Arabidopsis thaliana: one gene and its partner. The protein of the gene in region 1 interacts with the protein of each later gene in a pairwise test. Each region holds a gene or a part of one and is shown in the gene's direction. Other genes may lie near its edges.

Region 1 (17,915 bases):
GGTGGTGAACACGTTTTTATTTTTTATTCCTCAACGCCAAGTTTTTTATAATCTTAATCTTTGTATGAGACAATAAAATTGAAAAATCTATACGTGTAAATACTACACATTATCATCCGGGAAAAAAATCTGAGAGGCTTAACTTCTATTTAGGACACAATTCATGACGTGAAGAAGAAGAAAAGAAAAGAAAAGAAAAAACAAGTTTTGTTTATTATGCTTAACGTTTGAGTAATTTGATTGCATTGACATAACGTTTGTTCAATACCTTGGTTTGAGAATAATATAGTTATAATATTTAAACAACGACATGATATAACCAGTTGACATTTGTTTGCATAATTGTTCTTTTTCTTCCTTCTTTCTGTAATTGTTTAAAATTAGTAGCAGCGATATGTTTTTTTTTTTTAGTATATATAATCATTTATTGTTTTCAGATAATCATTTAAGTTTCACTAAATTGGAAGGAATAAATGAATAATGACTCAAACCACAATGTAGATAGACTTGTGGAAAATTCGAATCTATTACAACATGTCAACATACAATACCTTTGTGTATGTAAACTAGACTTGGATTAAAAATAGTTCAATCCATTCTTCAGTTAGAGCATTGTTTGTTTATATTCTTAGGCTTATCACGTATGAAAAAGCCCATCAAAGCTGACTTTTACTCCCTCATCTGGCAATCTCTAGGAAGCCTCTAAAGTCAACGCCATGCCTAACAATAACATTGACCAATTTAGCCAAGAAAAATATGCATCTTTTGAAATATTGGACCTCCTGTATTCGATTTGCAGAACTACGAACTCTTTTTGTATCCCGTTGTTCACTGTTGTTGGCCCAATGCTTTAAGCCCAGTTTTGTGTTGATAAATGGAATAAAAGTAATATTTTTTCAACAATTACATGTCAGCAAGTTAGTAAAGTACTATAAATGACATGGCGACCACATCATAAGCTACGTAGGATTTTGAAAGCAAGTACTGTGTACTTTTGACATTTTTTGGTCTGATTGTAAAAGTAACTGATGAGATTTAGTAAGAACTGATTTAAGGAAGAAACGAGAAGCCAAAAATAAAAAACATGACATCATATCACTACAAACAAAAAAGCCCAATTCTCAAATCTTTTAAAAATCATAAATCACCAAAAGGAAATCTAAATCTCAGGATCAAGTGGTTGAGCCCGAAAAACAAAAATTAGTGATGACTCCATCGTTGTTGAAGAAGCAGAGCAAAGCAAATTAAGTATCTTTTTTTTTAAGCTCTTTCTTGGTCTCTGTCTCTCAGACGGAGGTGAAGCTGTCCGATTGTCCTCAACACTTTAATCGCTTGCGGCGGAGTAAGAATCTCCACCACTTTCCCCACCGTCGAACACCGTAGCTGATCAGCGTTGTTCATCGCTGCCGCCATCCCAGCTTTAAGCACCTCCATCGCCTCCTCCAAATCCGTTTCTTCTCCGTCCACCATTCCCACCGCTCCCACGCGCCTCGCCGCGAGCATCACCGGCGGATCCGCCACGCTTTGTTGCACGAGGGCGAAATCTCGCATAACTTCTCTCTCTTTCCTCCTAGTCTCCGACTTAAGACTCGAGATCCGGTCTTTCTGGTGGCGCGTGAGGTCGGCCACGGAGACCTCGGTGAGTTTAAACACAAGAGAAGGCTTGAAATCGCCGACCCATAAAATAAGTTTAGCGTAGGAGTTAAACCACGGTGGGCAGAAGAAAGTGAAAACGTTGTCCCCGGCGAGGGAAACGGAGGCGAATTTCTCTTGGTAGTATTGAAGACAGTGAGATAGAAACTGGGCCACGAGAGATTGTTGTTCTTCGAGAGAGATACGATTAGTTTCATCCAAGGAAGAAGCACACATAAGCTGTTCAACGAAATACCTGTGACGGATTAACCAACCATCAACGAAGATAGTGAAGCTTTGAGAGCTGCTAGTGTTTGGCATGTTTCTTATGTTTGGAGTACTCACTAAGTAAGTATGGACTGTGAGTGTACGTTGTGCAAGAATGTTTATATACTACTACATTGGGCTTGACCAAGAAAAATCTTTTAGGAATTAATTTACGATATGTCGGTCTATCGACGATGTGTCGGCGGGCGAAATGGATTTTTGTGACTTTTGTCTTGTCGGAGTGAAGTGTAATCAGAGCAGCGTCTTATCATCATTTGCTGTTGTTATTCAACTCTGGTTTTAGAATCAAGTTGGGTTAAACAATAGTATAAAATTTTAATATGGATGAAAATAAAATATAAATTATCCTTGGTAATTATTGATTATAACCTATAGAATCGACAAAAAGAAAGACTATAACCTAGAGAATTTTTTTTTTTTTTTAAAACAAGTGTTCATTAAAAATCTTTAAAATATTTAGTCTGTTTTATAATTAAAATGTTTATATCTGAAATTGTATCTATCACTACTAGTTCCAGTTGGAATTATATATCTGTCAGGGTCGCATCTCGATATTATGGAATGACCTAAAATAACATCTGAAGAGGAAACCGACACATGTTGGTAAAATAAGAAGGCACACGTCATGTAAAGAAGATGACATATGTCAGGAAAGGAACATGTCCTTACAAAATAGAAACCAAATAAACCAACAGTTCATAAATGCTCCAGTTATGCCGCGAGCCATCTTTTCTTCTTTACTAAGAAAATTTCTACATTATTTTAAGATTTTTCTTTTCCATGTAGTTGTCTCATACTTCCTTCGAAAAGATCTTTCTCTAACTTCAACCTTGGGGATCGAGCAACCATATTTCAATCAACAGATTCTTTCATCACTCTAATAACGGACAAAAAAAGAAAAGATGTCAAAAAAAAAAAAATTGGAATATGCACGTTGATACTATAAGTTCATTTAAATCAGTCGTTAGAGTAAACCTTATTGAGAGTTCAAATTCATTTAAAAACCTGATGAGATAATTATATAATTTCTTATAAGATTTTTTTTTCTTGTAAGAATTTAACGAATAGAATTTTTCTCTCTATTACTTAAAATTCCTCCTCGTCAAAAATTGCAAATGCTTGGCAGTTTTACCATTTTCTCAGAACTACCGTATGAGAAATAAAGTACGTATTAAAAAACAATACAAGCTTTAAAGATAAAAGAGGCAACAAATTTTTTTGACAAAAAAATTAGATGAAAAGAAGTGACGACAAATAACTGAGAAAACACGTTTTGCAAAACTAAAAAAAAAAAAAAAAAGAGAGAGTTGGAAAATGTTTGGAGCTGGTGGGCATTAGTTGGCTATGCAACGCACGGACGCGGATACTTTTCAACTCGTTGCTTACGCGGCCACGTTTTCGTCACAAACCGTGTTTCTTTTGCGGCCTTTTAAGTTTTAATCAAACATTTTTGTTTTCATTTGAATCTTTTTTTTAAGGCGGTTATACGAATAAAATCATTAAAAGGAGAAACGGGCCTTCATGTTTAGGTTTTTGTTCTTCCTCATTTGGGTTATTTAGCTTATTGGTTCAGCCCACAAGAGTTTCCTTCAATGGATAGGGCCTTCAGTTGCATGCCATCATCCTTTCTTGTTTCTCTATAAGCCATTTTTGCAATGAGAATTTCTCAATTTCTTATTTTTGCAATAAAATCATTTTGCCTTAGATGATGGTGGAATCATCCGTTTTTCTTTATTTTGACCCGGTGAGTAATTGAACGCAAAAAATAGTCCAATTATTCAAAACCTTACAATTTCATATCGCCATAATAAACCTAAACATGATTCGAGTGAGCAACTACATAAAAAGGGGAACGAAATGTTGGTACAAAACTGAATTCCAACCCAATCAAGTGCATACTAAACTATTGAGCAAAAACAAAGATAAAAATCAGTTCACCTACCCTAATTAAAACATGATTAGGCCTAAAAGACTATAAGTAAAGATAAAAAAGATGCCATTTTAGAGTACGTTTTGGTAAATTGGCGCCATCGTGTTATACGTTTAAACCGTATAACCTGAATCATGCAGCACGTGTACGGCTCACATTGGCCCAAGCTTGATTAACAAACAATAACGTCATTTTCGTATTTCAACAATTTTGATCGCTCAATCCTTTCGACCTAATTTCCATATTAAGTAATTTATTAGTTAAAACAACGGACTCAACCAAATTACATATTAAGAGAATATTTGAAAATTGTCTATGTAGATGAACATGTATTTGAAAATTGCGTAAGCACACTCTTTCTCTCTCTCTTTTTTTTTTTTTTTTTTCCCCCTCTTCTTTCTTTGAATAAAGATGACATTTTTTTCTGTTCCAAACACAAAACTGCATATTGATAGTGTTATTGAATACTCAACGTCTCTTCTTCCAGCTTACGTAAGTGGAACTTACTTTTTGCCCCGTGATCCAACAGAAAATGACGAATGCTCCCTCAAAATCATTTCGTTTCAACAAAAATATGTATTTTATCCATAGAGAAACAACAAACCTTACACTATATACCCTCTTTTAACGTGCCCACTTTTCATTATTTACACAATTTCCCCAACAAATTTAAAACAATTTACAAAAAGCACTCAACTTTCCTAAAGTAGATTCCTTTAGTCCAATGGAATTCTTACAACATCTTCTTCTTCGCCACCTTTTTCTCTCCACTTTAAGCTTTTTCACTCTCTCTACGCCACGACGACTGTGAAGCGAGAAATGGCTACTTCCGATCAAGATCGCCGTCACAGAGTCACTCGCAACCGTCCACCAATAGCTCGACCCTCTACTTCTTCATCTCGTCCCGTTGTATCTCCTCCTAGATCAAAAGTTTCGAAGCGTGTGCTTCTCCGTGTAGCTTCCGTCGCATGCGGGATTCAATTCGGATGGGCTCTTCAGCTTTCTCTCCTCACACCTTACGTTCAAGAGCTGGGGATCCCACACGCTTGGGCTAGTGTGATTTGGCTTTGCGGTCCTCTCTCTGGTTTGTTCGTGCAACCGCTCGTTGGGCATAGTAGCGATAGGTGTACTAGTAAGTACGGTCGTCGGAGACCGTTTATTGTCGCCGGAGCTGTGGCGATTTCTATCTCTGTTATGGTTATTGGTCATGCGGCGGATATTGGATGGGCATTTGGGGATAGAGAAGGGAAGATTAAGCCGAGGGCGATTGTTGCTTTTGTTTTAGGGTTTTGGATTCTTGATGTTGCTAATAATATGACTCAAGGTCCTTGTAGAGCTCTCCTTGCTGATCTTACTGGTAAAGTTCCTGACTTTAGTGTTGATTGGGTCTTCAATTTGAAATCATTCAAATGTAGTAAATTTGGGATTCTCGTGATTATACACTCACATGCAAAACATGAAAATGCATAAATTTGTGATTTTGGATACAATTTGGGGTTATATAATTACCTAATTGGTTCCTAACAATCAAAAGGTCCCTTCTTTGTTTCTGGTCGGTGGCTTATCGTTGAGTCACAGAGACTTTGTTTTTTCTCTTTCCCTTGAATCAAATTGTGGATTTTGGTGAAGTTAATCGTAGCCTACGATTGTGTGATAACCTCATGGAGTGAAAACAAAGATATGTTGTGTTTTAATTCTTGTCCTATTGCTTTATTTTCAGAGAATGATAATCGCAGAACCCGAGTTGCAAATGGCTACTTCTCTCTCTTTATGGCTGTTGGCAATGTTCTTGGCTATGCTACTGGATCATACAATGGTTGGTACAAGATCTTCACTTTTACGAAGACAGTTGCATGTAATGTGGAATGTGCCAATCTCAAGTCTGCCTTCTACATAGATGTTGTCTTTATTGCAATAACTACGATCCTAAGCGTCTCAGCGGCTCATGAGGTGCCACTTGCTTCATTGGCTTCTGAAGCACATGGGCAAACCAGTGGAACAGACGAAGCTTTTCTTTCTGAGATATTTGGAACTTTCAGATATTTTCCAGGAAATGTTTGGATAATCTTGCTTGTTACAGCATTGACATGGATTGGTTGGTTTCCATTTATTCTGTTTGATACTGATTGGATGGGTCGAGAGATCTATGGCGGTGAACCGAACATAGGGACTTCATATAGTGCTGGGGTCAGTATGGGTGCACTTGGTTTGATGTTGAATTCTGTTTTTCTTGGAATCACTTCTGTGCTCATGGAGAAACTTTGCAGAAAGTGGGGGGCTGGTTTTGTTTGGGGAATATCAAATATCTTAATGGCTATTTGCTTTCTTGGAATGATAATCACCTCATTTGTTGCGTCTCACCTTGGCTACATTGGCCATGAACAACCTCCTGCCAGCATCGTGTTTGCTGCTGTGTTAATCTTTACAATTCTGGGCATTCCATTGGCGGTAAGTTTACTCCTGTAATTCTGCTGTCATGTTACTTACACTATTACTTATGATATTTTGCCTGCTCATCTGTAACAACATGATGAAATTTATTTACGCTTTCGCTGTAACTAATGCTATTGCTACTCTTCTGCAGATAACTTACAGCGTCCCATATGCGTTGATTTCCATACGTATTGAATCCCTGGGCTTAGGTCAAGGTGTGCAGGCTTATCTTTGGGTGTTGTTTCTTATAAAAGTTCTGTTGTGTTGTTTCTTAGAAAAGTTCTGCTCAATGATTTTACTCTACATATGAGTGTTGTTTCTTATAAAAGTTCTGTTGTGGCAGGCTTATCTTTGGGTGTGCTAAATTTGGCGATAGTCATCCCACAGGTACACTTCTTTCAACCATCCTTTTAGCATTATATTTGCCGCAACTCAAAATCATATTCTTCTTTGAATGTTTCTGCCTGTAAAAGGAAGTCTATAAGCATAACATGCAGCAGAGTTACTGCATTATTTGTCAATTGTCATTAATAAACGATTCGTTTTTTTAGTTATGGTCATTGGCCAGTGATGAAAGTACACTTTTTATTTCTCTATATTAGTTGATTGATGAATTTCTTCCCTATGTTGGTTATGGTTTTTGGCATCAAACTCAAATTCTGTTGTTCAATCATTTATGTGTTTGCAGGTAATTGTGTCTGTTGGCAGTGGCCCATGGGATCAACTGTTTGGAGGTGGGAATTCACCGGCACTTGCAGTAGGAGCAGCTACAGGCTTCATTGGCGGAATTGTAGCTATCTTGGCTCTTCCACGGACAAGGATTCAGAAGCCCATCCCTCTCCCATGAGATTCTCTCTTTTGTTATATAAGGTAATAATGTCACAATTCTTTCACAAAAAGTACATAGTAAGCACTTAAGTTGTCACTGATTATTAAAAGCGGCTAATGCGAAATAGATGAGTGTCAAGCGAGGAACGCATAAGGGGAGTGCTTGGAAATGGCAAGGAGATGGAACACTTAATGTGATCCTTGTCGAAAATTCGTGCAATGGCTTCTCGTGTGACTAACTTATTTGCAGCTACTAGGACTTAATCCCCTCTACTTTGGGGACTATGATCCTTGTATACACGAGGCACCATAGAACCAATGAAAATAATACATCATTCAGTTTGTGAGGTATATGCATCTCTCCTTTATTGGAAGTTCCAGTTCGGGATCTTCTCTGTTTTTTTTGTTGTTGTTGTAAATTAATGTAAAAACCTGTGTACAACAGAGTGTTTGTAAGGGCCCCTGAGTTCTGTAACTGTTTATAAAGTTCATTTTCTTTAGAATTAGTTTGATAAAGAAAACCTGAGATCCAAAAAATTTACATGATCTGTGTAGCAAAAGTAGAAAGGAACCATTACGAGTACTAGTAGTCTCTATAGTAGCAGTAACCACCAATAGTCAGCAATAGATTAGGATGACTCTTGGGAATATTAAGACCATCTCCAATGGTTAAGAAGTAATTGGTTCTTAACCAAACATCTTAACAATTATTTATACTAAAATTTTGAAACATGACATGTAACTGTTTTTTTCACTCATGAAAACTTCTTAGCTAAGAAGCAAATCTTAGTTTTTAATTTATTTTGATTTAATTTTCAAAGTTTAATTCTAAAATATTATTCTAAGATACACCTAAGATAAACCATTGGAAGTGCTCTAAGCCTAGTAGGAAGGAATAGTAGCAAATCCCAGTTTTCTTCTTGAGTGAGATGTTTGAGATTGAAATTACTGTAATGCTATTGAGATTCTGTAGGCAGCGTATCAATAATTGAGAGAAATAAGTAGATGCTAATACAGCTTGAGCAATACTTATCCTTGTAAAATTGTGAATGATTCCAGAGTTAAGTACTTTGACCGTCCAATAGAGATTGTGTGAGAGTATGTATAACAGATATCATAATTGGTTTAAACTGAAAATAGAAAAAAAGAAAATAAGCTGTGGAGTAGTAATATGCCTAAAGAATTTAGAAAAAGGAATACACGTGTGGAGGAGGAGCACAAGGGACCTAAAAAGTCTGTTGGGATTTGGAGAGGCCCTGGCTAATATCTAAGAAGTGATATATAACAAAGGACAAAAACGTGGTTTACTCTCTGTCTGTCACCGACTCTCTCTATATTCAAAGTCAACTAGGGCGGCTTTCACACCTCCCTGCTTCTAGACGAATGGCAAATCTTATCATCTTTTTTCTATTAACAAATTCGAGGTTAGAGTCTCTAGCTGCATGCACTACGATTTCAAAATTCTTAAATCTCGTTTTCTAGTATAATTAAATTTGAAGTCTTTTTTTATACTAACTTACTACTAAGCATGCTTTTTATCCTTCTCTACGATATAATCTAATACGTTCTCAACTACACATAACCTTTTTTAAAAGTGTATCTAAAATCTCAACATACTGATTTAAGTATCACTCATTTGTGTATAACAGTTGACACTTTTGAGATTAAGAAATAAATAAATTAAGATGGTATTAAAGTTTAATACCAGTAGTTGAAATAGAAAATTCTGAAAGAGTAATACTGTATTTTCTTCTTATTTTGGGGGTCAACACAGATCAAGAAATTCAAGATTAAAGTTTTATGATGTGTATCTATCAAGAATTTCTTTTTTTATGATGAGTACTACTGATCATGGTTCAAGAGAAGATGTTGAGGTTAGTACTCTTCACCTTCAAGAACAAATACATGAGATTCTCAACAACAACCAAAAAAGAAGCATGAGATTCTCACGTGGTTAATTAATTGCATAAACGTACGTAATTAGTATTGCAAGATGTTAAGATTGTTAGAATGCAAGTGAAAATATGATGAGATCCTTGATTTTTAACCCCGCAGTACATTTTGGATGTGTAGATAATCCCCTTCTTAATTTAAAATATGATCATTTTAATATGTGTAGAAAAGTGGTTATTTTGGTATATTTTGTTATTGTAAAATGTGATCAAATCCTTCTGACGAAGAAAGAAAGATGAATCCCCATTCTCTACCTTATGTTATATTTAGATTGTGTTCTTTTTATGAAGAATTGGGTTGTTGAAAGCATTCACTGTAGGCCATTTGATTCATCCCTTGTCGCCTTCGGATTTACATAAGTGGAGAGTTTTTTCTTCTTCTTTAATTAACCTTTTTAGCTTTAGCTGAAAGAAAATAAAGTAATTGCCTTTTTGTATGCAACAAAGCAATTAGCTTTTACCTTTCAAGATTTTCATATCACAAGAAAAGCTAAGTGAAGTCCACCCTGTATTTTTTGACAAGTACATTTTATCGTCACGTCCATGCACTTGCACTATCATATAACAAAAATAAAATAAAAATAAAAGTAAAAGAATGATTTGTCTTTTCTTAGGCTTCAATTATTGGATAACTTATTTCATCAAAAACTTTTTCTTTTCTTTTCTTGTCTGTTCTCTAGTATTGCCCTCTTTTTCCATGAAGCTTCGAACGCTTTGTTGACTAGTAAAATGTGAAGACTCCATATTCGAAATAATTCATTGACCAAACAAAGATTCGTCGATTGATAGTTACGGTATGGTTAAAATTATCAATAAAGATCAATCTCTTAATATATAGTTTCACATCATGCAATCAAATTTTCTTTCACCGTGGACTCGTGAGAGAGAAAAAAAAAGAAGAAGCTGTGGTTACTTATTTGTACAGTCTAAATTTTTTTTTCATATATTAAATGATCCATGCGTACGTTAAAATTTGTCCCAAAAAAAAAATGTCATAATCTTTTTTATTTATTAATATAGATAATTTTTTATCGCGCCTTATCGTCGGTAAATATATACGTTTTATTTGATTTTTGTTTTAAGCCCTAAGATTTTCAGGATAATATAAACCAAGATGATTAGAGCCAAATGAGAAAACTGCTCTGGCTTAATTTTTTTCTTTAAAATCACTGAACTAGGTTTTGGTTGTGTAATTCATTGAAATTTTTTCATATCTGTCCGAATTGTTATCATGGTTGTGGATCTTTCTTTTTAGTATATAGCCTAAGAGTAATCTATTATAGTAATTCTAGTTTTACGCTTAATTAGACCATCTATATATATTATTTCTAGTTACGTCACCTAATCATAAAAGACTCTACAACAGCAAGCTAGGGAAACACAGTAGCAAAGAAAGTTTTTTCTTACTGATTTTCAAAGGTTTGAAACACATGTGTTTGTTTGGACTCACTAGTGTCTTCTGGCGTGGAATCAATTATTTATGTCTCCACCTAATCAGAATATGACAAATGAATACTCGCAACATAAACATAAAAATAACGCTCTAATGATAATTCTTTTTTTTTATTGTTTTATGTCGGAAAAAGAAGAGTCCACCGAGAAAAAGAGCCCTCAAACAAATTTGAACATGGCAATTATGGAGCGGCAGAATTTAATTATTAGTCCTATAGTCGATATATTATTGCATTACCTAATGTGTACACACACAATATAAGGTTGGTTAATTTGGTAATCAAACTAAAGATTTAGAATGAAAATTTCCTTTTAAAAAAATAGCCATTTGTTTTGTTTTAAGATAAGAGCTAAGACATATAACTACTTCCTAATTAACTTTGGAAAAAAGTATATTGTCGCAAGTTGCAACTCTTGTGCCATAAAAAGCAAGTGTTCAACACATGTTTATAGTGATGCCTCATCAACAGCTCAATTAAATTGAAACGTAAGTATAATACACAATCATCTACATATTTTTGCAGACATTTTAGCAAATAAATCGTAGAGTTGAACTTATTTACAACTCAATGTCATTAGCATTAAATCTTTTTTCCAAAATAATTCATTTTACTTTAAATTCTTAATTTAAATTGTCAATCACATTATCAATCAAATTTAATCCAAACAAACTTCCCATCAATCCTTTAAAATTAGCATAAACGTATTTGTTAACAATATTTAAAACAAAGTTTTTGTTTAAATAAATATTATTCTTACTAAACGTTTTTTGTTTAAATAAATAAATCCTGTATTTGAACTTATTTACAATTTCATGCTACTGGCATTAATTATTTAGGAATGAAAATATTTAATTAAAGATTTAAATCTTCTAAATCCTTGCTTTTAGATTTATTATGTCATTACCTAAAAGGCAAAAACTATTAGTTTTTTAAATATTATTATTTATATTTTAAATTTTTTTAACATTACTAATATTTAAACTTATAAAAAGTTTAATATATCAAAAAATCTTAACATCATTATATAATATATAGAGTTTTTAAAAATCTCAAATTTTTTTCCGTCATATTTTGTGATTCAAAATTTAAAAAATGAACATATATTAACCAATTGGCGAAAAATATGTGAGTTCAACGTCCCATTTTGACTAAAATATTTAGAGAATGATTCATAAACATATCATAAATAAGATCAACATTAACAAAATAAATGGTTTTTTTTTTTGCGGGACGAGTTTGGCAGGACGTTACTTAATAACAATTGTAAACTATAAAATAAAAATATTTTATAGATAGATATAATATATAAATTTTTATATATATTAACTTAAAAAAATAAATTGTCCTGCGGTATACTGCAGATTAAAATGTATATTAATACTTACGACGGACGTGTACAAAATATTATATAGCCCCAAAAATAGCGCTGCATATAAAAACCACATCTACCTAAGCCTACCATGTAGTGTAGTTGCATATAAGACAACTATAAATTAATAATGTAGTTTAATATTTTTTTTGGATTGGTTTCTTTGTTTTTGGTTAAGTTTTTTTTTCTTGGGGGTATAATGATTTTAGTTAAGTTTTGTTTAAGTTTCCTCAATGACAAAGGTACAATTTCGGCGTTACGTCTAGTCTAAAATAATCTATTAACAAAAGAATGTACTTAATTAGTCAATACTCTACTCAATAGTAGGATATCGTTTCAGTTTTGTATGTGGATTTTTTTTTAAATTTTTGAAAAATTCTATTCAATTTCAATAAAAAATTTCTGAGGATAGTCAATGAAAACCAAAAAAGCCATAATAATAATAATTATAAAGTAATATATCAAAACGCTCATATAATATTCCACATACATTTACTGTATAATCAGAAAACTAAATAGTATAGTTATCAAGGGTCCCTCTTAATAAAACCAATATTATTCAACTAAGATATACTTTATTTATTTGGAGATAATTTAATTTTCGTAAGCACCATATAAAAAAACAATGACGCAAATTATTATTTTGTTTATGTGATAAATAAAGAAATATAAAACGAGAGAAAACAAAAAGAGTGAGTGATAGTGATTACAAAGGTAAGCCAAAATTTGAATATTTAATGGATACCACCAGATAAGAAGAACTTTGCTTCAAAGCGGCAAAGCTTAAGCTTTTTTCTCGCGCCCGCCTCTCTCTCTCTCTCTCTCTCTCTCTCTCTCTCTCTCTCTCTCTCTTCTCCTCTAACCAAATTTCCCGATGTGAAAAAACAAGTTTCCGATCAACTCAAACCACCGTCACCACTTCTTCTCTCCGACATGGCTCCGTCGTTAAGGAATTTCAACTTCTTTCACCGCTTCTCCACCTTCCTCGTCTTCTCTCTATTCTCCGTCGTTTCTTCCGACGATCTCCAAGTCTTACTCAAGCTCAAATCATCATTCGCCGATTCCAATCTCGCCGTGTTCGATTCCTGGAAACTGAACTCCGGTATCGGTCCTTGTAGCTTCATCGGAGTAACCTGTAATTCTAGAGGCAACGTTACAGAGATTGATCTCTCTCGTCGAGGTTTATCTGGGAATTTTCCATTCGATTCGGTTTGTGAGATTCAGAGTCTCGAGAAACTCTCTCTCGGATTCAATTCACTATCTGGAATAATCCCCAGCGATTTGAAAAACTGCACGAGTTTGAAGTATTTGGATCTCGGCAACAATTTATTCTCCGGTGCTTTCCCTGAGTTCTCATCTTTAAATCAGTTACAGTTTCTGTATCTCAACAACAGCGCTTTTTCCGGCGTCTTTCCGTGGAAATCGCTCCGAAACGCAACGAGTCTCGTCGTTTTGAGCCTAGGCGATAATCCGTTTGATGCGACGGCTGATTTCCCGGTGGAGGTTGTTTCTCTGAAGAAACTCTCGTGGCTTTACTTGTCGAATTGCAGTATCGCCGGAAAAATTCCACCGGCGATTGGAGATTTGACGGAGCTTCGGAATTTGGAGATTTCCGATAGCGGATTAACCGGAGAGATTCCGTCGGAGATTTCGAAACTTACTAATCTCTGGCAGTTAGAGCTTTACAACAACTCCTTGACCGGAAAACTTCCTACCGGATTCGGAAACTTGAAGAATCTGACTTACTTGGACGCTTCAACAAATCTTCTACAAGGCGATTTATCGGAGCTTAGGTCTCTGACTAATCTCGTTTCACTACAAATGTTCGAAAACGAATTCTCCGGTGAGATTCCGCTGGAGTTTGGTGAATTCAAGGATCTCGTGAATCTCTCTCTGTATACAAACAAGTTAACCGGTTCTCTGCCTCAAGGACTCGGTTCACTTGCTGATTTTGATTTCATCGACGCATCAGAGAATCTCTTAACCGGACCGATCCCTCCAGATATGTGCAAGAACGGGAAGATGAAAGCTCTGCTTCTCCTGCAAAACAACCTCACTGGCTCTATCCCTGAGTCCTACGCTAACTGTTTGACTCTGCAACGGTTCAGAGTTAGCGAGAACAACCTCAACGGAACTGTTCCCGCGGGACTTTGGGGATTACCGAAGCTCGAGATCATCGATATAGAGATGAATAACTTCGAAGGTCCAATCACCGCGGATATAAAGAACGGTAAAATGCTCGGAGCGTTGTATCTAGGGTTCAACAAGTTGTCTGATGAGCTGCCTGAAGAGATAGGTGACACTGAATCTTTGACTAAGGTTGAGCTTAACAATAACCGGTTTACCGGGAAGATTCCTAGCTCCATTGGGAAACTCAAAGGACTTAGCAGTCTAAAGATGCAGAGCAATGGCTTCTCCGGTGAGATACCTGACTCGATTGGTTCGTGCTCGATGCTCAGCGATGTCAACATGGCTCAAAACTCGATATCCGGAGAAATCCCCCACACGCTTGGATCACTCCCGACGCTCAACGCTTTGAATCTTTCGGACAATAAGTTGTCTGGGAGAATCCCAGAGAGTTTGTCGTCTTTAAGGCTTAGCCTTCTTGATCTGTCTAACAACAGATTATCAGGTCGTATCCCTCTGAGTTTGTCATCATATAATGGTAGCTTCAATGGCAATCCTGGCCTCTGTAGCACGACGATCAAATCGTTTAACCGGTGCATAAATCCTTCGAGATCGCATGGAGACACTCGCGTGTTCGTGTTGTGTATAGTTTTCGGGTTACTGATCTTGCTAGCGTCTCTTGTGTTTTTCTTGTACCTGAAGAAAACAGAGAAGAAGGAGGGACGTTCGCTTAAACACGAATCTTGGAGTATAAAGTCATTCCGAAAGATGAGTTTCACTGAAGATGATATCATTGATTCAATCAAAGAAGAGAATTTGATTGGTAGAGGAGGTTGTGGGGATGTGTACAGAGTAGTACTTGGTGATGGTAAAGAAGTTGCGGTCAAACACATCCGGTGTAGTAGTACTCAGAAAAACTTCAGCAGTGCAATGCCGATTCTCACTGAACGGGAGGGAAGATCGAAAGAGTTTGAAACAGAGGTGCAAACGCTTAGTTCGATACGACACTTAAACGTGGTGAAACTCTATTGTAGCATCACGAGCGATGACTCGAGCTTGCTGGTGTACGAGTACTTGCCTAATGGAAGCTTATGGGACATGCTTCACTCTTGCAAGAAGTCGAATCTTGGTTGGGAAACACGGTATGATATAGCTCTTGGTGCAGCAAAAGGGCTTGAGTACTTGCATCATGGGTATGAGAGACCGGTGATTCACCGTGATGTTAAGTCCAGTAACATATTGCTAGATGAGTTCTTGAAACCTAGAATTGCGGATTTTGGTCTTGCCAAGATTCTTCAGGCCAGCAATGGCGGTCCAGAGTCCACGCATGTCGTTGCGGGAACCTATGGCTACATAGCTCCAGGTATATAAAGAGACTTAACTCTTATATCATCAGCTTGTTATGGCCTTACATTTTGAAATTACAATTTGACAGTAAAAAATATTGTTGCAGAGTATGGATATGCGTCAAAAGTGACTGAGAAATGCGATGTATATAGCTTCGGGGTCGTGTTGATGGAGCTAGTCACAGGGAAAAAACCGATAGAGGCAGAGTTTGGAGAGAGCAAAGACATAGTGAATTGGGTGAGCAACAATCTGAAGAGCAAAGAGAGTGTGATGGAGATTGTGGACAAGAAGATAGGAGAAATGTATAGAGAAGACGCGGTCAAGATGCTGAGGATTGCGATCATCTGCACCGCAAGACTTCCTGGACTAAGACCGACGATGAGGAGCGTGGTGCAGATGATCGAGGACGCGGAACCTTGCAGATTGATGGGGATTGTGATCAGCAAAGAGAGTGATGTCAAGGTCAAAGAAATAAGTTGATGATTGAGGGACCAAGTCACTCTTTTGGGGTCTGTTTTGTTCACAATGAAACTTAGGGAGATCGAGTAAAGTGGATCATCTAAATCTATTAAGACGTACGTAAGAGTTTAGATGGAGAGTGTTGTAATACTAGTACTCCGGGTTATGAAATCATAGGTGTTGTAACGATCTCATTGTAAACTATTTTCTTGTAATTGTAGAATTTTAAGGTTTTCAAATGTTCATGAAGGTCAACTACTAAATGAAATTTATGGTCCTTATATGCACCTATACTATTACTTTGCTAAGAAGTGTATATTCGACTGGGTAAAACAATGTCTATAAAACTTGCAATCAATCAGTTTTTAATCAGAGTTATATTTATTTCTGCGTGAGGATGATTTTATTATATTATTTGATTCAGAAAATTCTCAAAACGAAACCAAATTCAAATTGGATTCTTGGTGTGATGACATAGACCAATTATTATTATGATATCCTCTCCTGTGATTTCTAAAAGTTAGTCAAATCTACGTATGCTCAAAAACTTTTGTAGTTGCCCACTTTGACCAACTTAATAAAAGAAAGATGAAGAAATTTAGACACCTCATGGCCTTTTGGCTCCACTAATAAGAGATTCAAAGCTTCCTTTGTTGAGAATGCATTTATGTTTAAACTTTCATCTACTGATATTTACTGATTTAGCCAAAAAAAAAAAAGATACTATCAGAAAGAAGACAATAATGCTTAAGCGAAAATTGTATAATTCTTCATTCTTCACAAGCAGACAATACTGCTTCTCTGCATTGGTTCGAACAATAAACTTGTATTTTTTTTCTGAAAGAAGTCGGCAATTCTTAATATCTTCCTAAGCATAGGAATACATATTTTACATTTTTGTTTTTTTATTTGATAGAGCAAACGTCATTAGCAGATAGTAAATTAATCTCAAAAGTAAAAAAAACTAATAACTTCCTACAAGTTGAGGTAACGTATACTTGATAACTTCTTCCGCTGGCGAGTGCACAAAAACTAACCAAAGAATTGTCCTACTTAATATACAACAGTTTTTTTTTTTTTTGGTTGTATCTTTCTGATCTATCTCAAAACATATCTCCACAAACCAAGATTTGTCAGCGGAATAGATCTTGGAATGACCACATTATGAATCTTGCAAAGACATCAGACTCCAAAAACTCGATGTGAGCAGCACGGCCGATGAATGAGTTCAGGTTACGACCATACAAGGTTGTGTCGAAGTTGACATCACAGCGCATGAACACTCTCTGGTGGTGCGGAGTTTCAGGGGATGGCCCACGTATTTGGTCCATACAGTTATTAAGCATCTCCAAGAAAGCAACACCTCTTTTTGAGTTGTCGAAAGAAGCTGGTTGGCATGACTCAATCCTAGCTGAGTGATATGGAACATACCCATCCTGGAGTAGCAAAAAAAAAGACATGGCTCTAATTAGACAATATAAAAAAATGTTAGGGATTGTATTCTCATATAAGTGTAATGGAATGTACCTGAGGCGAAGACAGGAGAATTATATTCTTGAAACTGCACAACGTCTTTTGCTGAAAATAATTTCAAAACCAACATTTCAGAACCAAAGAACAAAGGTCTGTTTGTAACTATGGTACAAGATCTTGATGAAATGTTAACATCTTTCTCTACCTTGCAGAGCTTGTAAAAGAAAGTATTCTGGAGATCAGGATCATCTGTGAGTGTAAGCTGATGAATAACCTGAGTACTCTTTAACTTCTTCAGGAGCCAAAGTCCAGAATTAAACAAGGAATTTGAACTGTATAGATAACCCAAGTGTGGACCCGAAAGCGATATATATGTATGAAAATACTTCCTGTATGGATCCATCAAACTATCTGCAACAAATACATAAGTCGGGAATAATGATTAACACCAAAACCGATTTACGAACCGTTTTAAACATTGTCTGAGAGATTCTAAGAACATACCAGCTATTGCAGCTCTGATGATGACGTTACCAATTGAATGTCCAACAAAACTCAGCTTGATGTTTTTCAAGCGCCCGTATCTCGCATGTTTATCCTTTTTCCTCTTGAAAAAAGAAACA
Region 2 (15,616 bases), on another chromosome or scaffold:
GTCTCTGTAGTATTTCCTTAATTCCTTTATATATCTATTATTCAATACTCACTACACAATTATTTATTTCTAGATAAGATGCAAGACATACTATAGCTACTACAAGTGCAAGAGTGTTTATCGAGTTATCCTTACACGTTTCGTTGTTTCATCTCCCGTGCACTCTTTTTCGTACTATAATGGAAGTGAAAGAGTCATTGAATGATATATGTAAGAGATTTGACCTTAGCATGCATCTAACACGTCAACTTCAAACTAAATTAATATATCACAAATCAAATCCAAAACGTAAAATAATGTTCTCCTCGTCATGACTATATCTCTATGGATTATTCAACTTCTTTTACTTTGATCGTGAGGAATTTCATATGGAGATAAACTTTTTTTTCGTCAATCTTGTACAGTTAAACATTTTCCGCTAGTTAAAGAAATTCTCGTAACGGAGTATGAAATTTTTTGTGACCACATATCATCGTAGAAATTTAGACAAACAAAATTAAGAGGATGAGAGACTCGATGACTTTTATTGTATTTCAATAACAATAGAACCATGAAAAAAATACGTGCACTTACACAAGAAGCAGCCAAGCAGGTGGCCTAGAATAAAAAAAGGCGTTTGGTGTTCAATATTTTTCATCCATTTGATATTTTTATTTCTTCTCTTTCTACATACATCGAATGTTTATCTTTTAAACTTACCAAATGGATTAAAATATCGAATACAAAAGCGCCATCAATGATGATCAGAAAGTGGTTTTGGCATGGGAATCAAAATGCACGTGGCTTTCCGAGAAAGAGCGCGTTAGACAAACGCAGATCTAAAAGACCACGTGAGAATCAGCAAACAAGCAAGGTTGTGAACAATACACTGACTTCAAAATTGCGTTTCTTCTCAACCGCATCCACCATGTTTTATCATTTATTCACCAGAAAAGAAAAAGAAACAGAGATGTTGATCATGCATGTTGTTACCATTCGAAACGCTAAATTTGTTTGAAACAAATAAAAAAGAGCACCAAGTTCTTAGCCTTCCACTTGTCATTTGTCACTTTATGTTTGGGTTCTGATATTCCATTTTTATGCTTTATATATCTCAAACCAAACACATATATAGTTGGGGATGCATTATTATCCACTAGAATATTAAGAATGTTGACTATAGACAACTGTATGACATTTGAGTCTTTGAGAACTGCGAAATGGATTGATCGATGAATTTTTTAAAAATGTAGACCTAACTATATAATATCTTACAACTTTTTTAGTTTGGCCTTCCATTATCAAATAGTCTAATATTTTTTTAATAAATAAATAATAAGACTAAATAATTTGGGAGACTGACCAAAATAACGAATATTATAAGATCGATGGAAAATGGTTTAGGAAAAAAAAAATTAGACTCCTTTTTAGTTTTTAGTTTACAAAAATACATTGATGGCTGCTAAAATACATATATCCAGACGGAACTGGGACATGTAGGGATATTGAATGACAAAAGTACTTTGTGATAAGATATGAATAAATAAACCGAGCAAGTTGATAATATATTTTGTCAAATTCGTTGAAGCTAAATAAATATTACACTGTGAAAAATAAGTAGAATAGTGGTCCATACATTCTTACAGAATTTACTATATGTTGAATTCAAATCTCTCACAATGCTAATATCAATATAAATACGATAGAAAATGAAAATGACATGTTTTATTCTTCAATAACTGGTGTGTAAAAAAGTATCGTATGAAAATAACTGAAAGTGCCATTTTATACCAAATCATAGTTGCTTGGTGCGTATCGTTTGGCATAAAGTGAACTATAATTTAGATGTGAAGGTCCAATATTCCCAAGAGGCGAAGACAAAAATTGGGTAGACTTAAAAGAGTCAATTGATCAAACATGAACTGAACTTGGGTAAGATCATACTTTCAATCATTAGAAAGGATCCACCGAGAGGTCTAGCTATGAAGATAGGCATGGTCAAGCTGAGAAGGTTAGGACGTAATTAGTAAATCTTGGTTATAGATAGATAGTCATATGGTTGATCTTGCTTTCTCACACTTAACACCATCAGTTGAATCCAATGTTAAAAATAGGTAATTCTCAGATGCAGTACCTCATAAATGTTGTAAAAAAGTCATAAATAATTATTCAAAGGAATGCATGGAAGAAGTGAATTACATATTTTTAAAAAAAATATAGGAAAAGAAAAGTAAAGTTCGTACAAAAGAGAGTAGTATTATTCTCTTTTTCTTCTCCATAGGGCCTCGTAATATCTACTTAGCATACGAGGACACATTAATATTCGATCATGTATATATATGCCTACGACTACGAGACATTCGAAAGTTATTGTCTAGTGGTTTGTATTCACACAATTTCCGTGTTAACAGTTTTAGTTCCATTTCCTTCATATAGAGATCTAAATGATACTACTACATATCATTTAGTTTAAGGAAGGACGATGTAAGAAAATAAAAATCTAATATACGAGAGAATTGTAACACGTTCACTTCATAACTAGCTAGCTAGTGGTACTTACCAGTTACTACCCCAACTCTAGTCAACACTACATTAAATACTATAATGTGAACAAAATTATTTTGAACCAACGGCTGTTACAGTAGTTTATTCAACTTTATCAACCAATGCATTAAATTGAACATATTTCTGGCCGATTGAAATAGGTTGGGAACGATCTTATAAAATTCAGTCTTAAACAAGTCTTGGTTTTCAAAAATGCAAATTCATTCGTATGTTCTTGGCAAAAAATGGTTTAATTGGTTTGATCTGATCTTATCCTATCACGCAGGATTGGTGTAATATAACGCACCAAATTCGGCCAGGAAACGTCCGAATATAATAGTCCAATTCTACTTATGAATTTGACGTGTTGACGTAAAGAATCAAAAGTCGAACTTATTGAATAATTTATTCGACTTTAATTTTCTTTTGGGGTTTTGGTATGTTTGTGACCACATGGTATGGAGTTGACATTTACCATTTTCTTGATTGACTACCTAAGAAAATTTTAATTATTATTCACATTATGGAGAGTTATGTTTCCATATTTTGGCTTTAATATTAATCATGTGGTCAATAAAATAAAGAGGATAGTTATGGCATAAGATTGTCCATAATGTCATCATCTTGTTTAGTAAAAGACAGTCACATGAACCGGAATCTCGGTTTACCAAACTTTTCACTTTTTCAGTTTCACATGAATGTCACCAGATTCATTGAGTTAAACATGTATTTTAATACTATAAAAGGTTAATTAGTTATGATATCATATTTATGACTTTTAAAAGACTTTTGATATTGTAATCTGTAACTAGTTATAAGTTAACCATCTCTTATAATTAGAACAAAAAAAAACTTAATTATGGATGAACTGATTTTAATGGAAAAAATATTTAGAAATAGAAATACATTCATAATTTATATCTAAGTCTAACCAAAACACAAATCTAAAGTTACGAATAAATCATTTCAAGTGTAATTTTACTAACTATTTGACTCCTAATCTTATTTCATCACCTAAACTCCTAATTGTTATATATTTATGAGAGATAATGACATTTGTTCCTCTACATACTAATCTAATGGTTGAATAGTCATGTGTTTGACAAACTTATAAAGTTTGATTTTTCGTATGTGACATTTAGTTATACATCCATAAATTATATAACTTTCTTAGTGAGATATATGAAGGTTATATATGTGGAGTATATTCTTAATAATTAATTGTTACCCTACTTTTTTTCTTTTCGGTGACGTAACTTTTATAAAGTTTAACCCCTTAATGATTATTGTACTACATAAACCCCAAAACTCTTTTCTCTTTTCTTTTTTCTTTGTGTAGTACTGATATCAAGTCAACGTGCGGTACATAAGAACCCAAGATCCCATAAATAAATTCTTCTTGGTTTTAAGCTTTCTTCTTCATCTCTACTTCTCTATATAACTTTGAGTAGTCTCACCAAAGTCCATTTTTAAAAAATCAACTATACCATTTTTAGCTATTCTTTGGTCTTCGTTTCGTGTAAGCATTCAATGTTTTTTTTCTTTTATCTCTTTGGGAAACGGGAGTGTGGTCTTCGTGTGTGTGTCCCTGTTTCATTAACCAGTTACGTTTCATTCTCTTCTTTTCTTACGTTTACTACAGATTTCAGAAAGAAAAAAAAGTGTTTGAAGCAAAAGAGATTAATGGCAGATTCTTGAGTCATTAACTTTTTTCTAATTCTTTTAATTAGATCTCTGAACATAAGAGATAACTTGCGTCATTATTCTATGGTTATAAAGATTATGCACTTGATTAAAATAATCTCTAGTTTTCCTTTTTCTCATTTGCTAAGCAACTGTTTCTTTTTCTTCTTCTTCTTCTTCTTCAGATAATTATGCTTGGGAGTGGAAAGCAAGAAAAATTCTAAACTTTATATAAAATTCCCAGAATCAATTGATCCAAAAAGAGGTACCATTTTTTTCCTCTCGTCATTTTCCATAAAAGTAAGCTTTTGATTGATATTTAATTATTAAAAGAATCTGTCTTTTGGGTTTTTGTTTTGACAAATTTTTGTTTTTTCAGTATTGTCAAAAAAGATAATCAAGAAGAAGAAACTCTGTTTTTTTGTTCTGTTCTTGGAAAAAAATGAGGAGTATGATGATGGAGAGAGAGGGAAGGAATGAGATAGAAAGAGAAGTAATAGATGACTTGGAAGAGACGCAAAACGAAGGAGATGATTTCAAGTCAATACCTCCATGGAAGGAACAAATCACTTTCAGAGGAATTGTTGCAAGTTTAATCATTGGTATAATCTACAGTGTGATCGTGATGAAACTAAACCTAACAACAGGTTTGGTCCCAAACCTAAATGTCTCTGCAGCACTTTTAGCCTTTGTCTTCCTTAGAAGCTGGACCAAGCTGTTGACCAAAGCCGGGATTGTGACTAAACCGTTCACTAAACAAGAGAACACTGTTGTCCAAACATGTGCTGTTGCTTGTTACAGCATTGCAGTTGGAGGTTCAGTGAATTTTGACCAGTTGTTTTGACTGTTTGATCAGTTTTTGTTTGGGGTTGGATCATTGTTTTGAGCTATGTGTTTGTGTGATTTGCAGGTGGGTTTGGTTCATACCTTCTTGGTTTGAACAGAATTACTTATGAACAGTCAGGAGGAACTCACACTGATGGGAATTATCCGGAAGGCACGAAAGAGCCTGGAATCGGTTGGATGACCGCTTTCTTGTTCTTTACTTGCTTTGTTGGTCTTTTAGCATTGGTTCCTCTAAGAAAGGTAGAGATTATTTAAGATTCTGTCTCATTGAATTTGTAGTTAGAGATGTTGCGGTAGGCCAAAGTTTGCGGGTCAGTCCGGCCCATATAAGTGTGATATGGGCCTGGCCAAACCCGCTATAGCCAACATAGGACGGAGATTAATATTGGCCAAGTTTGGACTATTAATCCCCTGTTGGCTGGTTTGGGTCTACATTGCTAAGTGTTCATTATGCTTCTTTTTTTGGTTAACCAGATCATGATCATAGACTACAAGCTGACATATCCAAGTGGAACAGCTACCGCGGTTTTGATCAACGGTTTCCACACTCCTAAAGGCAATAAAATGGCCAAGTATTAACTCGATTTTTTGGCAGTCTCTTAGCTCTCTTTCACCACTAATTCTAGAGTTTTTGATTTAAATAAAATCTGTTTATATGCAGGAAACAAGTGTTTGGGTTTGTGAAGTACTTCTCATTTAGCTTCATTTGGGCTTTCTTCCAATGGTTCTTCTCTGGTGGTACAGAGTGCGGTTTCATTCAGTTTCCAACTTTCGGGTTAGAAGCTTTGAAGAACACGTGAGTATTATTCTTAGTTCTATTGACTGTTTATATATCAACAGATAGAAACAGAATCTTGATGATCTTGAAAAAACTTGACAGATTCTACTTCGACTTTAGCATGACATACGTTGGAGCAGGAATGATCTGTCCCCATATTGTCAATATATCTTTGCTTTTTGGCGCGGTTCTGTCTTGGGGAATCATGTGGCCACTCATTAAAGGTCTTAAAGGAGATTGGTTCCCATCAACTCTTCCTGAAAACAGCATGAAGAGTCTCAATGGTTACAAGGTTCCATACAAAAAACACTAGTACTCTACAATAAACTCCGCCCTTTCTTTCGCGTACTTTCGTTCTTAATTTGTTCATAACTCTTTAGGTGTTTATATCAATCTCATTGATCCTCGGAGACGGGCTTTACCAATTCATCAAGATACTTTTTAAGACAGGAATAAACATGTACGTCAAGTTAAACAATCGCAACTCTGGGAAATCTAGTAAGTATACACCAAAAAAACTATAGAAAAATCGTCATTTCAATAATGTATTATCTGATGTTCAAACGTAAATCGCAGATTCGGAGAAAGATAAGCAATCTATTGCAGATCTTAAAAGAGATGAGATCTTTGTAAGAGACAGCATTCCATTATGGGTTGCAGCAGTAGGATACGCAGCGTTCTCTGTTGTCTCGATCATCGCGATCCCTATAATGTTCCCCGAGCTGAAATGGTACTTCATAGTCGTAGCTTACATGTTAGCTCCATCGTTAGGTTTCAGTAACGCTTATGGAGCAGGGCTAACAGATATGAACATGGCTTATAACTATGGTAAAGTCGCTCTGTTTATCTTAGCCGCTATGGCAGGGAAACAAAATGGTGTAGTCGCGGGACTTGTCGGATGCGGGTTGATAAAATCGATTGTATCGATTTCTTCTGACCTAATGCACGATTTCAAGACAGGACATTTGACTCTGACTTCACCTAGGTCGATGCTTGTGAGTCAAGCGATCGGTACAGCGATCGGATGCGTTGTGGCGCCTCTAACTTTCTTCTTGTTTTATAAAGCTTTCGATGTCGGGAACCAGGAGGGAGAGTACAAAGCTCCTTACGCTTTGGTATACAGAAACATGGCAATTCTTGGAGTTGAAGGTTTCTCTGCTTTGCCTCAACATTGTTTACAGCTTTGTTACGGGTTTTTCGCATTCGCGGTGGCGGCAAATCTCGTTAGGGATAGGTTACCGGATAAGATAGGGAATTGGGTTCCATTACCGATGGCAATGGCGGTTCCGTTTCTTGTTGGAGGGTACTTTGCTATTGATATGTGTGTGGGAAGTTTGATTGTGTTTGCTTGGAATATGAGAGATCGAGTTAAAGCCGGTTTAATGGTACCGGCGGTTGCTTCCGGTTTGATATGTGGAGATGGTCTATGGATTTTGCCGTCGTCGGTTCTTGCTTTGGCCGGCGTTAGACCTCCTATATGTATGGGCTTCATGCCGAGTAAATATTCGAGTTAAAGATAGCTTTTTACGAGTTTTTACTTTTTTGTGTAGCGACAAAAAAATTAGCTAAAGAATTGTGGAAACAAAAAAAACAGTTTATATAGGAATTGTACTTTGTAAGTTTGTATACACAATAAAGTAATAAACTAGTCTCTCAATTCTATTTAAAAATCCATGTCCCAAGTAACTTCTCCCCAAAAAGAAACTCAATATTTTAGAATAAGGTCAAATGGAATTAAATTCCAGAAGATATTTGCCAAAATAGTGATAAAAATACGGTTAAATTGGTATATGTTTTTACTGACAAAAGGCAAGATTCTTCTATTTTAAGATTTATTTCTTTCTTTGAAATCTGCTAAACGTTGTTAGATCACACTTTATGTGTCTGTTTTTTTTTTTGTCAATTCAGCACACGTCATATTTGTATTTTTCAAAGTACCAAACGTGGACCAAAATAAAATCTCGTCAAAAATGGAAACCAAATTTTAATTTGATTTGCACAAAGCCCAATTTGATTTGTTTAAAGTCAAAGCCCAACTTGACCAAAACTACCCCTGCTCATCCAAACCCTAAGCAAAATATCGAGGGTAGTTTCGTATTTTGTTTATATTGAACACAATTAAGTAGGTGAGGAACCTCTATTTCTTCCGTCTTCTGCTGATTTCTGAGCTTCGGAGCTATCGAAAATTCTGAATCTGAAAGGGTAAAGATCCCATCTTTTTCCAAAAATCGATAAGGGAATTAGTATATTCGTTCATTCATCATCGTTCTGATGATTTCGATTTGAATCTGTATCTAGTACTCTGTATTATCAGAAATTTTGATTAGTAGCTTTGATGTGTTCTTGTTTTGCAGTTTGAGTGAAGATGTCTTCAGATCGGAAGGTTCTAAGTTTTGAAGAAGTTTCAAAGCACAACAAAACTAAGGATTGTTGGCTTATTATTTCCGGCAAGGTTAGATCTTGTCTCTTTGTTTGAGAACATCTCTGTTTTTTGACGAACTTAGTTCTCTTCCGCCATTGATTTGTGTCAAAGCTTCGATTTTAAAGTTGTAGAGTTGGATTGTTACTGTTAGAAGCTTTAATCGAGCCCCTCGTAGATTTAGTTGATTCTATGTTAATTCACACTAGAGAAACAGAGTTTGTGTCTACTACTTGGTTATGATCTGTGATTGTTGCGTTCTTTAGGTGTATGATGTGACTCCATTCATGGATGATCATCCTGGAGGCGATGAAGTCTTGTTGTCCTCAACAGGTATAAAACTTGTGTTTCTCTCTGATTCAAGGCGGATTTGAAGCGGCTCGGTGACTGTTTCTGTTCTGATGTGGTGTTTTGTTTGCAGGGAAAGATGCTACAAATGATTTTGAAGACGTTGGTCACAGCGACACTGCAAGGGACATGATGGACAAATATTTCATTGGTGAGATTGATTCGTCTAGTGTTCCAGCAACTAGGACATACGTTGCACCACAGCAACCAGCCTACAACCAAGACAAGACACCAGAATTCATTATCAAGATTCTTCAGTTCCTTGTTCCGATCTTGATCTTGGGATTGGCTCTTGTCGTCCGTCACTATACCAAGAAAGACTAGAAGAAGCCAAAGGCTTGCTTTGATGCTTGTCATTGAATATCTCTACCGATCTCTGTCTATCTCTCTTGCGAAAAAAAGTACTGTTACTGTTGTTTGGTCTTAGACTGATTCTTGTTGAAATTACGAACCAAAAATCATTGTGTTGCTACTAGTTTTACTGTGTTGAGTTTATGATGACAGTGTTTTCGACTTTGATGATATAATAAAAGACTGCTTGATTTGCCCAAACTTAAGCTGCTTGATAAAGAAGTGAGAAACTGGATTTCTACAATTGAACAAATATGTTTCATACAATTGTGGAAATGACAGTTTCAGACTCATCCGTTACATTTTAACAAGAATATTGCCTTGTCTTTTTCATTAGTACTACAATAAAAGCGATAAGGATAGTAGTATTGTGTTTTCTCTGTGTGATGAGTAAACAAAAAGAAAGAAGAAAGAAAGAGAGGAGTGAAAACGGTAAGAACCAAACCGCAACAAACTTTAAACCTTGAGAAAACGCAGCCAGACGAGTGCAAGGGCTTTTGTGTAGTGGAAACACTTCATTTCTGGCTTTGATCGACTTCTTCATCAAATACTCTGTGATTGAGAAAGAGTTTCAATCTTGTCGTGAAGCGTCACGACAAGATGATGGGCATCATCAAGAAGCTTCCAGACATTAAGCTGACCAGCCATGCTATTACACTCTTCCACAATCTCATCCATACTACTGTATTTCTGTATGATCAGTTTCCTACGTAGTACTAACGCCGCGATTGCATAGAGCAACAAATCATCCGTTGGCGGTGCTTGTTGCCGGATTCTGCTCCATGGCGACTTCCCAACTCCAGCTCTAATGGCAGCTTGATCAGCCCACATCACTTCCCAGAGACACAGCGTCTGTTCAAAACTCAACTCCCTCCTAAACATAACAAGCACCATCCTGTAAACGAAACTACAATCTTCTGCTTGAAGATTCTCCAAGTGTTTATAAAGCTGAGAGTCTTTATTTTTTATGATCTTTGATACAATGCTTAGCTGTCTTTGAATCCCTGCTTCGTCAAGCCTGAAATTGTGCCGAGCTTTCTTCATGAAACCAACAAAGCACCAGAAAGCCTCGTGATCCTCTGAGATCACAGCGAGGATTGGAGATAACAGATCACTCATTCCTTGACAGTAGCCTATCTCAGGATCATACATAGCATAAGCTTCAAGAATTGCAACTAACCGTGCTGCGTGGTATAGCCTGCAGCTTTCTAAGTGATCATAGTCTTTTAACCCGACAGATTCGGCTAACCTGCGAGCTTTGCTTTCTGTGATTGCTGTTGAATATGGAGAATAATTTGCCCATTCAGAATCCGCTCGTAAAGCATCAAGCCGGATGATACGTTGCCACGTAGAGAAATCTTCGTGTACCGCAACTTCTACTTGGACCTCAGAAGCAGCAGCTACAAGAAGAGAACTATTCTCTTCAGAATTGTTATTACTATTATCCTCCTCCGGCTTTTTTTCATCGCTGTGTGCAAAAGATGAGAGTAGTAAAACATCTTCATTATCTTCACAAGAGTCTGTATCAGAAGAATCAGTGTTCAAAGCAGAAACAACATCTTGACTTGTCATTGGTCCTGTAATCTTATAATCATCCACGAACCGAACACATTGACTGTTTGCCTCATCAGATGGAAGCTCCTCAAGATTATCGGTACTTCCATTACCGCACTTGAGAAGCATCTGACATCGTCTCTGTAGTTTCTCATACTCCTTCCTACAATTCAAAGATCCCAACAATGAAATTATCTATCAGCATCTAAATACAAACATTGACTATATATAGATCAAACTAAATACTAACCTTTTTTGAGTTTTCACTGCTTCTCTTTCTTCACTAGTACTATTCAAATCATAACTGCCATAAGAGAAAACAAGTTGAGAATCTCAACAGAGTGAATAAAAATAACCAAGACCATAAAGTCAAAACAAGAACAAACACTCACACTCCGAGTAAGAACAGCCACACTTCTGCACGAATACTTGGATCAACACCCTACAGAACCATAAGAACATAAATCAGAACCAGTAAAGAGACAAGTAAGAAACAAGACATACATATGGTCCTTGTTCAAAAGACTCACTCTGCTTCTAACTTTCTTCAGGAATCCAACTCCACCATCACGGAGTTTTCCCTCCGGTGTAAATAAACTCCTCCATTGATGTGGCGTCAATGCCCATTTTCTTTTCCGGCGAGACCACGGTGATTTCCGCCGGCTATAAACAAGTCAAGAGTCAACATTAGAAGCTTTTACAATATCAAAATCAACAACATTGATTGCCAAAATCAATCTAACAGCAAAACAAATAAACAATCCGAACAAACATAGAAACTTGTTAATCTTTATCATACTTTCCAAGTTGTGAACATTCAATCCGAACTCTATTATTGGATCAAAAAAGAGAATCTTTTAGATGCCATCTAAAATATTCCAAATCTAAAAGCTTTAGGCTACTCACCGATCGGAAGAAGTAACTGAAGACGGAGACGAAAGATTAGCCACAAAGAGAACCGACCGTAGATGGATCCACGACGACGAAGACGAAGAAGAATTAGAATTCGAATAAGAATTAGAATTAGAAGAAGGAGGTGAAGAAGAAGAAGAAGATGGTAACGAAGAAGAAGACGAAGAAGGTAACGAAGACGAAGAAGATGAATTCCCAGAAGACGTTGAAGTATAGCTTCTCCGTAACGCCTTCATCTGATTCTCTAAAAACTTAAACCTAAACCCCAAATCAAAATCAAAATCGAAATCAAAAAGTCTCCTGCTTTCATCAAAGATCTACACTTTTAATAAAACCCATTATCATCGACGGTGAATCACCGCCGGAAATTTCCCGGTGATAAGCAAAAGTAAACCTCTTCCTCCTCCTCCTCCGCCGTAGCAGAAATCAAGCATGAGTTGTTTAAGAAAAGAAAAGGACAGATTTACCCTCAAATCTCTCTCACTGTGATTGATTACTCTATCGTCTTCTTCAGCACGCCGAAACTGAAAAAAAGAAGAGAGACGAAGAAAGAAGACGAAGAAGAAGGAAAAAAAGCAAAAGCATCCAACAACTGAAGCCTCTCTAACCACTTTGCTCTTTCTTTTTCAGCTCTTGTCTTTTTTTTTTTACTTTAAGACATTAAGCGCGTGGACTCGCGCGTTTACTTTAATGCTACACGCGCTTTAACTCTCCACGCGATTTGGTAGGTGAATTTTAATTATGAAACTGCGTCGTTTCGTTTTAGTCTTCGTTGGTGGATTTTTACGCGATATCGGGTATGACCAAAGAGGAAATGACACGTGTTTACTATGGTTAAAAGCTTTAAATGTCAAAAGCTAAAAGATTTTCATTACGTTCCCACTTTACCGCGGCTTTTAAGGAGCATAATCATGATTAGTTTTGTAGATTTTCTAGTAAAATTTTTATGTCTACTAGAGAACAAATCTAATCATAAGAATGTTGACCTAATGGACCTACGTTTACTCAATGGTAAGGTTAAGAATTGGATTAACGATGGTTATTGAATATATATAGGTGTTTCTAAAATACTCTATTTTGGAATAGTTTTTGTTTGGTAGGATAATGATATATATTAAATTTCCATAGCAAATACTAACAATATAGTCAAAGGGTTTATCTTAATTAGGATTGATTTTTATGATTTGATGTTATAGATAACAGAATAACAAAAATTAATTCATTTGACAACTTTTCATCTATATTAATGAGTTTTCAATTCGAAATTATTGATCATATGGAGAAAAGTGGGCAACTAAATAATTCAATATTTATCTAAATAAAAAGTTAAGAGAAATTTATAAGATGGAAACACAAGTTAATATGATTTACATGTAGATGTTTTCAATAAACAAAAAAAAAAGGAAAAGGGTTAGTAAACACATTCAAATGGATCAAGTTAAAACCGATTAGTAATAATAAATGTCTATGAACCGAGTCAAAATTAAACTTTGAACTAAGCCAAACCTAAACTTGTTTATAGCATAATTATAAACAAAGACTGAAAAGGATTTGATTAATATGATGTTTATTGTTTATTTTGTTGTGACTTGTGAGTCTTACTAAAGTGTAACGGAATAAAGAGAAAAAATAACTATACCTTTTTTTTTTTTGACTGACATAAAGCCGAAGATATGCTATTAAATCTAGCCGCGTATGTCATTAACCAAATCTGGAATATAGTTGGTATTAAATTACAAAAGCATATGGAAAAGAATTTATTCTAATAATAAAGCACTACTAGTAGTAGTATTTTATTTATATATTTATGAAAATATACTTGCATGTTCTTGGAACTATAATTGTTTTTAAATAATATTCTGATTAAGAAAGTTAATGAGAGTTTAAATGAGGAAATTAAAGTTCGTTGGATGGAGAAGACATCAAGCAAGACTAGTGGCCAAGTTGTAGGTATAAAATAACATTATTACGTTCTAGGGATAAACATTTGGTTGCTTGAAAGATAAGTTATGTCTATGTAAATGCAGAAATTGCAATGATAAGTTTAGTCACTATGGATAGAGAGAGAGAGCTTTCAAGAGCAGAAAACACGACAATCGATAACTTTGTTTATGTGTCTCTCACAACTAGCAATGTCTACCGGCATGAAATGTGGGTATTATGTCCAAATCTAAGCGTTTAAATGGTTGCACTGGAAGAAGGACTAATTGCTTAGGAATTTGATCACTATATGCATAACAATGGTATAAGAAAACTATCTGTGTTCTTCACAATATGTGCATATATAAAGAAGTAGATTAAAACTTCTACTTATACACATTGTTCTCATTTGTGGTCTAGATGTGTATAAGCATCTTCTCTTATCCTATCATCTTGTCTGAAAAATATTCTGAATCATTGACTTTGGTGATTCTTTAGCTGCATATTCTAACTGAAGCTGTTCATCATTTGTAAGTTTCCATCCCAGAGCACCCAAATTATCTTCAACATGTCTTACCGACTTGATTCCCGGTATCGGTACTGTCCCTTTGCATATGCACCAGTTTATTGCAACCTGTAACAAATGATAACTCGTTCTTACAAGTTTCAACACTTCTTCTTCCCAAGAATCTTATGAAATTGAAATAATACCTGAGGCATAGTCTTTCCTCGTTTCTTTGCAATCTCGCTCAGTGCTAAAAGAAGAGGTTCTAATCCAGGAAGAATTTGTCGGAACAGCAATGATCTGTTAATCAGTGTTCAAGCATAGTTAAGAACAAGAAACAACGGCTAGTTTTGTCGATCTTTGAGCAATCTATTAGTACTTTACCGTGGACCAGTGGGAAGTTTTGAAGAGGAGTATTTCCCAGTTAGCATTCCTAGCCCAAGAGGACTATAAGAGATTAAACGAATCCCGAGCTCGTCGCATATACTCTTGATCTCTAGTTGCTCTTTTCCCATGCTTAGCAATGAGAATTGCACTTGGGCAGAACATAAAGGAACCCCTCGAGTTTTAAGGTAATCATGAATCTTCACAAGCTGTTGAGGTCCATAGTTACTAACTCCAACGGCTCTAACTAAACCCTGAGAAAGAGGAACGCTTATCATCAACTTTCCAAGTGCTTAAATGGTCATTAAAGAGATTTCATATTTTCAGTAGTTTTCTAAGCAACCTTTTCGTACATTTGCACTAGACCATCCCAAAGAACAAGCTCTTGTAGAGGCGCGTAGCTTGCAGTTGACCAGTGAAGCTGTCCAATCCCGAGCTGGTCTATCTGAAGCCGGTCTAAAGAAGCTCTAACACAACAACAGAACATCATCCAATTTATCATCAATCTCCAATAAACCAGAAGTGAAAAAGAGAGACAAAGATCAAAACTTAGAGAGACCTGCAGGCATTCACAAACTGTCCTGAAGTTAACCTCCATGGATAAGCTGCAAACTTTGTAGCTACCACTACTTCATTTTGTTTCCCTTTAAGTCCTGACATTTGCAACCATTAATCACAACACACAAACCCACCACAGTAACTTATCAAGACAGCTCCAGGATAATACTTTAGAACCAACTAAAGGCAATTTTTTCCCCAAATTTCTGAAACTATCTATTGAATCAGAATCTTTAGACCAGTAACAAAATTGGGAAAGGTTAAAGAGAAACACACCTTGAGATTCTTTAATGAATTTCCCCAAAAGTCTCTCACTTTGGCCATTAAGCCTACCAGTGCCATAAGAATCAGCAGTATCAAACAAATTGATTCCATTTTCCAAAGCCAATTCAAAAGCTTGTTGAAGCTGATCATCCATGGAAGTCTGATAACCCCAAAGAAGCTGATTACCCCAAGCCCATGTCCCAAAACCCATAGGAGAAACACTTAAAGGACCCATTTTGACCTAAAACCATCGATTGTTCATTCAATTGCATTAAAAAGGAGAACACTTTGTTACGTTTGCTTTATATGCGTATTGATGTGTTACCTTTTGCCATGGCCAGAAAAGAGGAAGCTTGAGAGGCTTAAAGGTGGTTATGTTGGAAGTATTGTTTGAGCAGTTTATGTTAGTGAAGGTCTTTGTGGTTGACAATGTTAAAGCCATTGAAAATAGTGGAGAAGAAGGCTCTCAAGCCTTTCTTCTGCTGTTTCTCAGTGTGTGGATGTTTTTGAAGATAAAACTGTCAACGCTTTTTCTGGGAAAATTTAATTTAATATTCAATTACTTTATTTC

What was found.
Region 2: the proteins of SUT4 (region 1) and CB5-E interact in a two-hybrid assay, tested with the Arabidopsis thaliana proteins (one study listed by BioGRID).

What each region holds. Positions count from the first base shown.
Region 1 is NC_003070.9:3,239,589-3,257,503, forward strand, and holds SUT4 (sucrose transporter 4), read left to right. Parts: upstream 1-4,397; 5' UTR 4,398-4,669; coding exon 4,670-5,207; intron 5,208-5,570; coding exon 5,571-6,298; intron 6,299-6,434; coding exon 6,435-6,498; intron 6,499-6,626; coding exon 6,627-6,670; intron 6,671-6,971; coding exon 6,972-7,130; 3' UTR 7,131-7,153; intron 7,154-7,239; 3' UTR 7,240-7,628; downstream 7,629-17,915. Other genes in the region: RAS1 (RESPONSE TO ABA AND SALT 1), read right to left, coding at 1,261-1,953; LRR XI-23 (Leucine-rich receptor-like protein kinase family protein), read left to right, coding at 12,820-15,376, 15,464-15,840; AT1G09980 (Putative serine esterase family protein), read right to left, coding at 16,953-17,255, 17,347-17,397, 17,498-17,703, 17,797-17,915. UniProt on the Arabidopsis thaliana protein: Responsible for the transport of sucrose into the cell, with the concomitant uptake of protons (symport system). Can also transport maltose at a lesser rate. May also transport biotin.
Region 2 is NC_003076.8:21,751,433-21,767,048, forward strand, and holds CB5-E (cytochrome B5), read left to right. Parts: upstream 1-7,896; 5' UTR 7,897-8,032; intron 8,033-8,184; 5' UTR 8,185-8,195; coding exon 8,196-8,282; intron 8,283-8,515; coding exon 8,516-8,582; intron 8,583-8,670; coding exon 8,671-8,921; 3' UTR 8,922-9,146; downstream 9,147-15,616. Other genes in the region: YSL3 (YELLOW STRIPE like 3), read left to right, coding at 4,649-5,021, 5,117-5,292, 5,527-5,624, 5,714-5,848, 5,933-6,122, 6,211-6,328, 6,407-7,344; AT5G53570 (Ypt/Rab-GAP domain of gyp1p superfamily protein), read right to left, coding at 9,492-10,665, 10,753-10,806, 10,895-10,944, 11,033-11,165, 11,409-11,656, 11,774-11,848; PLR1 (NAD(P)-linked oxidoreductase superfamily protein), read right to left, coding at 13,783-13,968, 14,046-14,139, 14,224-14,477, 14,567-14,690, 14,783-14,876, 15,058-15,286, 15,371-15,487. UniProt on the Arabidopsis thaliana protein: Membrane bound hemoprotein which function as an electron carrier for several membrane bound oxygenases, including fatty acid desaturases.